2 linked regions of the Xenopus tropicalis genome follow. Each later gene encodes a partner of the first gene's protein in a complex. Links are inferred from orthologs where the notes say so. Each region holds a gene or a part of one and is shown on either strand. Other genes may lie near its edges. The genes, in order: zmynd8 and dbn1.

Region 1 (3,820 bases):
CCGGCGACTTACATTTTCGCCGGTGGGATGGCAATCCGGGGAGATTAGTCGCCCGCGAACAGGGAGTTTTGTCGCGGGCGACTAATCTCCCTGTGTGCCAGAGCCCTAAAAGTTACCTGTGGACTAATATAAGAACAGCAGAAGGTGAAAAATGTTAAAAAAATGTTGAAAAATGTGATTCTTCATAAAAGTTATACCCTCATACTGTACTGTCTGTGGCAAACAATATGGCAGCTCCTACCCTTGTGTAGGAATAACAGTATACAGAGAAGTCCACTTGCTTCACTCAAAGTAAATAAATACAAACACTACCTATAAATGGACTTTCCTTTGCCTGTTGTTGGTTGTGTTGTTGGTTGTGTTATACAGTGTGGCTACATATTGGAGGCTGGTACTTGATTGTAAATGAAATGTAGAGCGTGAGAGTAACTTTCATGATTACATAGACTACTCACAAACCATTGCTAGTGATTTTTCTGCCTGCTGGAATTATCCATTGGAGTCTGGCAGGTGTTGGGGATCATACAACAGGGCTGCAGGAGCACCTTCATGCTTATATTTGGCTCTACATCGCTCTGCAAAGAGCAGCAATTTGTTAGTGAATTAATTTTTCGCCACCTGGTGTTCAGTAGTGGAACTGTGTAAAGTGTAACAATGTATCAGTGATTATTTCTGCTAGAGCCAAGTTAGAAGATGTCCATGTTATCATGATCATTTATTTATATAGTGCCGCCAAGTTACACATCACATTATAATAATTAATGTGAGGTCCCTACTCACATGCGCTTGCAGTCAAAAGGTAGAGGGAGCAGTTGACATGTAACAATGTCGGCAAAGTCTCCCAAATCACATTAAGTACAAGTGAAACAATTGGCAGCTCGCACCCATATGTTTAAATATATTCATATACAAACAGAGAGAATTTCGGTGCACAGACAAAAACTGCCATCTTTGTACTGTACTGTTCTGTATAAGGGCCAATAAAGATGACAGTTGCTCATTCATGGGATGCTGAAGATATCAACATACACCCCCAGCTGCACAGCATTGTTTTTACAATTGGTAACATCTCGATACTAACCTCATTCTATTGATTCCTTCCTAGATGAATGAAATTGAAGTCTGTCCTGAATGTTATTTAGCTGCTTGCCAAAAAAGAGAGAATTGGTTTTGTGAACCCTGTGTAAGTATTATGTTTGTTTATGAATAGGACACTGGGCGTTACACTATCCTTAGTCACTTTAATTTGTCTTTTATCCTACTGAGACTTCTTTCACCGGCAGCTTTGATCTGTTATCTGTTGCTTACAAATCAGATCTCAGGGGAGATATCACTAAAGGCGCCATAGTATTATGGTATCTCTCTGTACAGGCTATGAGCAAACTTAGGGGGCTGTTCCTGCTGAATTGTGCTTAGTACAGGGGAATCCCTACGCTGCCATAGTTTTATGGTATCTCTCTGTACAGGCTATGAGCAAACTTAGGGGGCTGTTCCTGCTGAATTGTGCTTAGTACAGGGGAATACCTATGCTGCCATAGTTTATTGTAGAGGTATGGGATCCATTATTTGGAAACCCACCTCCCTTAGGCTCCAAATAGTGCCTTGTACTTGATCCAAACTAAAATATAATTTATCCTTGTTGGAGGCAAAACAATCCTATTGGCTTTATTTAAAAGTTAAATGATTTTTTAATAGACATAAGGTATGAAGATCCAAACTATGGAAAGATCCCTTTTCCAAAAAACCCCAGGTTCTGAACATTCTGGATAACAGGTCCCATATCTGTATCTCTGTACAGGCCGCGAAGACAAGTAAAACTCTGTGCAGACTTGTTCCTGTTGCAGCATTGTCTATGCAAAATAAATTATATTTTTTAATATTTTATTAGTGATTTTAAAATATAGATACTGTATATTTTTGAAAGTGTTGTGATCTGCTGCCAAAGGACCATCCAACTGGAAATTTTTTTCTGGCTCACAGCCAGCCCAGGGCAACACTGACTTCTATACTCCAACTCCCTAGACTTGTAAAATATTAGATGATCGGCCTGTCACATGGAACATTCAGACAGCTGTGTGCCACAGTAATATTACATAGATCTGATTCCTGATTGTACATCATGTAACTCTTTCTGGTTTTCTCTTTAGAGCAATCCACACCCATTGGTCTGGGCAAAATTAAAAGGATTTCCCTTCTGGCCTGCAAAAGCACTTAGAGATAAGGATGGACAGGTTGATGCACGATTCTTCGGCCAGCATGACAGGTGGGAGAACAGTTCTCAGTGTTCTGATAATGCTAATATGTTCAGAAACACCAGATCATAAACAAGGAGCAGGTTATTAGCAAGGCTTTATATATCCCCCCATTGTAAGCAGCAGTCCTGCCCTGCTCTATGGCTGAGATTCTAGCTATCTGTATAACAGAGCATTCTGTCACAGTGGCACAGATCCTATCTGATCCCCCCATTGTAAGCAGCAGTCCTGCCCTGCTCTATGGCTGAGATTCTAGCTATCTGTATAACAGAGCATTCTGTCACAGTGGCACAGATCCTATCTGATCCCCATTGTAAGCAGCAGTCCTGCCCTGCTTTATGGCTGAGATTCTAGCTATCTGTATAACAGAGCATTCTGTCACAGTGGCACAGATCCTATCTGATACCCATTGTAAGCAGCAGTCCTGCCCTGCTTTATGGCTGAGATTCTAGCTATCTGTATAACAGAGCATTCTTTCACAGTGGCACAGATCCTATCTGATCTCCATTGTAAGCAGCAGTCCTGCCCTGCTTTATGGCTGAGATTCTAGCTATCTGTATAACAGAGCATTCTGTCACAGTGGCACAGATCCTATCTGATCCCCCCCCATTGTAAGCAGCAGTCCTGCCCTGCTTTATGGCTGAGATTCTAGCTATCTGTATAACAGAGCATTCTGTCACAGTGGCACAGATCCTATCTGATACCCATTGTAAGCAGCAGTCCTGCCCTGCTTTATGGCTGAGATTCTAGCTATCTGTATAACAGAGCATTCTGTCACAGTGGCACAGATCCTATCTGATACCCATTGTAAGCAGCAGTCCTGCCCTGCTTTATGGCTGAGATTCTAGCTATCTGTATAACAGAGCATTCTGTCACAGTGGCACAGATCATATATGAAAATCATTTATAGGGATTCTGTCATGATTTTTATGGGGTACTTTTTATTTCTAAATTACACTGTTTTCATAGCAAATAATTCACTCTACCATTTAAAATTTTATTCTTGAACAAATGTATTTGTAGCTGTAATATTGGTGTGTAGGCGCCATCTCAGTGCATTGTGCCTGAGTCTGAGCTTTCAGAAGGAGCCAGCGCTACACATTAGAACTGCTTTCAGGTAACCTATTGTTTCTCCTACTCCCATGTAACTGGAGGAGTCCCAAAGACATTGCTAAACAATAGAGGAGTAAACAAAACCCAATAGATTTTCTAATTATGTAGGTTTTATGAATCTTAATTTAGTGTAATGTTAGGGGATCATTAGTATCATTTTAATGTAAATGTGTTAGTTATTTAACATGATTCTTAATGATTTCAGGGCCTGGGTACCAATGAATAACTGCTACCTCATGTCTAAAGAGATCCCCTTCTCTGTAAAGAAAACAAAAAGCATTTTCAACAGTGCTATGCAGGAGATGGAGGTCTATGTGGAGAACATCCGCAAGAGGTTTGGGGTTTTTAATTACGCCCCTTTTCGGACACCTTACACGCCTAACAACCAATACCAAATGCTGCTGGATACTGGGAACCCAAGTGCTGGAACGGCCAAGACAGAGAAACAGGAGAAA
Region 2 (4,369 bases), on another chromosome or scaffold:
ACTAAAGTCAGGTAAGAGGTTGTGGGGCAGGCACTGGACAGTCATTCTTACCCTTTAATGTGAGGTCTGCCCCTTTAAGGTGGCTTGACTTCACAATTAGCACCAGACACTCCTGCCACCAGGAACTATGGATCTGAGTGCTTTTGTAACACACATTTTTAGAGGTTTCCCCACATTAAAGGGTAAGAAATGTCACTCCACCAGCAATGAACGCAGTAGTGAAAAAGAAAATAAGTGGTGAGTATGAAGAGGTACTGAGAAGCATATGAGCAAAGTCATGTTATACCAAATATTAATGCAAAAGTTGGATATAACATTCATCATTAGTGCTTTTCAAACTTTCCATGTAATGAGCCACTGTCTGTTATACCTACACTGCAATCTATAGAATTTCCAAAACTATCCTTAAAAGTCTCCACTTGGTGGGTGCCCTGTATGGTGAGGCAGGTTGTGGCACAGGCGCTGAGGAGTCAGGTAAGAGGTTGTGGGGCAATGATGTCAGAGGGTACAGACACTGGCAGCCAGGTGAGGGGGTTCAGGCGCCGGGCAGCCAGGTGAGGGGGTTCAGGCGCCGGGCAGCCAGGTGAGGGGGTTCAGGCGCCGGGCAGCCAGGTGAGGGGGTTCAGACGCTGGGCAGTCACATGAGTATAACAGGCAGTAGATGGTGCAACTATGAGCAGTGGATATAGGGAGATGTATGTCTTTGGAGGAAATTGTGGAAAACAGAACAAAAAAGAACAGCTACCAGAGAAGGGAAAAGGGGAAAAGACAAAGAGATTAATACAAAGAGGTTAGGGAAGGAAAGATGAGGTAATCCAAAGAAAAACCGAGATTGAGAGCCAAGAACACAATTCACAGGACAAAGCCGGCCAAAAGCGTTAGTAACTAGATCTGCATCATGCCTTCAGCTAACACCCACAGATTCCTTGCACAGAGAATATCTTTTTCTACGTCCAGCTCTCCCATCCCCAGGTATGCGTGCCCCCCTTACCCACCTCATTAACCCCTGAATTCCCCTAATCCCCCCATGAAGCTGGTACAATCCTGTGAGCTGATCTCAACCATTTTTTTCACATGCTGTAATCATTTGTCTGATCTCACCCTGGCAGACTTCCCCACCCTCCCCCCAACCCTAACAGATTCTGTATAGACCCACCCAAATGTAAGTTCTCAATGTCTCCCCAAGGTCTCCTCCCACTTGTACCCCCCAAAAAAAAGCTCAGATAACATGAAAAACGAAATATGTTCTCTCTCTTCAGTCCTGTGACCCACCCTCCCTTCTCACCAGTAATGTGCTCCAATTCCCTTTCTACTGAAGGCGAGACACAAAGAAACCTAGCTGACAATACACCCCCTTCAGCCCTTGTGCTCAGCATCCCAGCCTGTGTGGGCATCTGTGCATCAGGAAATGTGCCTGGCAATGCAGAACCCTGCTGCTTCATGCTGCCTGCAAAGCCCAGCACCCCATGCAGGAGCCAGCGTTTAGGAACAAGCCTGCAGGTCACAAGGGGGTGAACGATGAAGCAAAAATGAACGCAGTTCTCCGGACCTGAAAGATCAGTATGTGCCTTTCAGCCCTATGTTCTACTAGGAATCTCTAGCACGTACACATAACCTGAACAATACACTGTATCCAGCGACTACTCTGCACTTCCACTCATTGCAAACCTACACAGAACTCTGTGGCTAGACAATGAGAGCTGCTCAGTCTGTCTGTTGCCCATCTGCTATTCCCAGCATCCTCTAACAGCCAGAGGTTGAGATTGCTAGTTCAGTAAGAGCTGACATGTATGATAGATTGAACTGCACATTATACATTCAAGGTGGTTATGTCTTACACACAATTAAAACCTTCAGCGCACCCCTTCCTATTTCACTACGTACATCTGACCTTGCAGTTTCAGCATCCTCATGTGCCACACCCCTCTATTATGTGTCAGGCTTTACCCACTGCACCCCTTGAGCAGAGGCATCTGCACCCCACTCCCTTCCTTAATTCATTTAAGACCCCTCCCACCAGCAGACATAAAAGATGTGACCCACCAGAATAGAGTGCACTGGAAAGAAAGGTAATAAATGCTGATCTCCTAATTTGAACTAATCCATTCAACGCCAGTCCACAAGTGGGCATTACGGCAATGACTGGACCCAGCTCCAATATGCCGATAGGGTTAACATGTTATGCATTCAGCCTGCAGTAGAACAAGCCTTAATGGCCGGTGATATGTGGAGGTGTGGATGTGCACTGGGCTTTGTGTATTCTTGTCCTGCAGCCATCAGTGGCTATTCCCCTGCCTCCAAATGCCAATGTGCTTGCCACCCTACACTAGTTATCCCCCCAGCATCCAGTAATCTGTGCCACAGCTCTCAGCAATAGGCATGACTGGCTACCCCAGGCACCCCATTGGCATGCTAGGCGTGCTGCATCACTTGGTACCATCGCCAGCTGGCACTTAGCTCCAAGCACTGCTACATCAGTGCCACCACTGTGTGCCCTAAAGAAACTGCACCCCAATCACCTACACCTCACTCCTTAACTGGTACCATCGCCAACTGGAACATAGCAACATGCACTGCATACATCTGTCTCACCTCCATTGTGTGCTCTAGAACCTGCACCCCAATTCCCTGCACCCCGCTTACCAGTCAATGGAGTTCTGCTCCTCTATGACATCCTGATAGGCTGCCAGCAGCTCCGGGCGGTGGGGTTTGAAGCTAACGGAGGCCATGCCGGCTGCAGGCTCGCTGAGTGCCGGGGGATGGAGAGAGAAGGCAGCGGACTGAGGGAGGGAAGGAGAGGGATGGGGAGAGGAGGGCGCACTGACACACTGCAGCTGGGGAAGGGGAGGGACTGCGGCCATCGCTGAACCGCCGGGTCCTAAAGCTGCCAATACAATGTGCAACTGGCTCCTAAATCATGAGGAGACAGTCTGCGTGTGTGTGTGCGGCATTATAGCACTGAGAGCACTACAACTCCCAGCATCCTCCTAGAGTTTGTGGGAGGAGACTTGCATTTGTAGTTTAGCATGAACCTAAGGCACACAGGCTGGTAATATTGCTGCATCTCCCAGCTGTACCTCATGCAGGGAAACAGATTCAAACTGGATGTCCATCCAAATGGTTTTGCACAATGACACACTATATATCATTATAAGCTGCTTTCCAAAATACATCCAAGTTGCTCAATTAATGCATTGCTATTGAATGCTGTGCCTGTGTATAATATCTGCACTACTGGTTCTGACTCCTAAAAAAATAATAGATGAAGGCAGCTGATTAACAGACCCTGGAGGAGACCTGACTCCTGTAACAGTGTTTCAGCAGTCAGATCTAAGAAAAAAAGGGATAAATTAACAGTGCTTGCAATTACAATTAACTTTTAAAACCATTAAAAATGTTTAATAATATACTTATTTTGGCAAGTTGCTTAGAATTATATTTTATTTCATTATGAAAAAAACATTTTGGGGTGGAAATGTGCAATACGTTCTGTGAAATGAATTCCAGTGTTATGTAATATAATAGGTTACACATTAACATCAATAGTGGCACAAACCCTTTGGTATTGATCCAGGCTGCTGTTTGTTGTGAGCACATCAAGGGCTTCAGTACAGACTGGTAGGAGCATATCATGAACTTGTTATGGGCGAGTTATATACCAGGCATGGGGGTGGGGGTAAAAGGTAGTACATCTGTAGGAAGCATTTTCTCTAGGGCCTTAAAAGTCAATATTTAATTCTTGGAAAATGAGATCTCTGATGGCAGCCCTGCTTATAAAAGAAAGGGCAAACGGAACCAAAATAAGAATGCCGGTATGAATGTTTTTTTGCTGCCACTGGATGGTTAAAACGTCCTGCTACAGGAGACAAAATGACATTTACAGCAATACTGGCTACAAATCAGTAGCAGTCAAATAAATGGATATTTACGTGTCATGTGCAAAGCTTCCTTTTTACTTTTTATTATAATATATGCTTCCTGTAGGGCAACATTCATTTGATGTGCAGCCTGCACTTTAGTCCTTTATAAGCCTTCCCTATAAAATGCATGATATGGGGGTCAGCTTGGCATGCTCAGGGCTGTTCACTTTATGTCTCAATCCCATTCATCAAATCCATGTGCTGCAGGGCCCATTAGTAATCAGCACAAATGCATGCTGCAGACTGCACTGATTTCTCAATCACAGGATGTACCTGATAACGGATCAGCCAACCAGGATGCAGATTTATATGTGACAAATATTTAAAGGGGAACTGTCACTACATAAAAACAACTCCAGGTTGCAATGGACATTTCATAACTCTGATATTTGCTATAATATTCTTTTTCCTATAGTTTCTGTCTAGTTTTTGTTTATTAATGGACCCCC

The links.
Region 2: the proteins of zmynd8 (region 1) and dbn1 are in contact, whole or in part, in a crystal structure (PDB 5Y1Z), measured with the Homo sapiens proteins. The link is inferred for Xenopus tropicalis from reciprocal best matches to the Homo sapiens genes ZMYND8 and DBN1. Residues at the interface, in NP_001350670.1 of Homo sapiens: Gln167, Pro168, Gly169, Thr170, Gln236, Ile237, Val240, Lys243, Ile244, His247, Trp269, Leu285, Gly287, Phe288, Phe307, Gly309, Gln310, His311, Asp312, Ala314, Thr335, Lys336, Ser337, Ile338; in NP_004386.3 of Homo sapiens: Met1, Ala2, Phe6, Ser7, Arg10, Leu11, Leu14, Tyr17, Glu18, Asp92, Ala93, Cys96, Ala97, Ala99, Ser100, Lys104, Glu107, Phe108, Gln110.

The regions. Positions count from the first base shown.
Region 1 is NC_030686.2:37,276,126-37,279,945, forward strand, and holds part of zmynd8 (protein kinase C-binding protein 1), read left to right. Parts: intron 1-1,105; coding exon 1,106-1,183; intron 1,184-2,147; coding exon 2,148-2,263; intron 2,264-3,570; coding exon 3,571-3,820. UniProt on the Homo sapiens protein: Chromatin reader that recognizes dual histone modifications such as histone H3.1 dimethylated at 'Lys-36' and histone H4 acetylated at 'Lys-16' (H3.1K36me2-H4K16ac) and histone H3 methylated at 'Lys-4' and histone H4 acetylated at 'Lys-14' (H3K4me1-H3K14ac).
Region 2 is NC_030679.2:45,916,647-45,921,015, forward strand, and holds the start of dbn1 (drebrin), read right to left. Parts: upstream 2,915-4,369; 5' UTR 2,862-2,914; coding exon 2,644-2,861; intron 1-2,643. UniProt on the Homo sapiens protein: Actin cytoskeleton-organizing protein that plays a role in the formation of cell projections. Required for actin polymerization at immunological synapses (IS) and for the recruitment of the chemokine receptor CXCR4 to IS.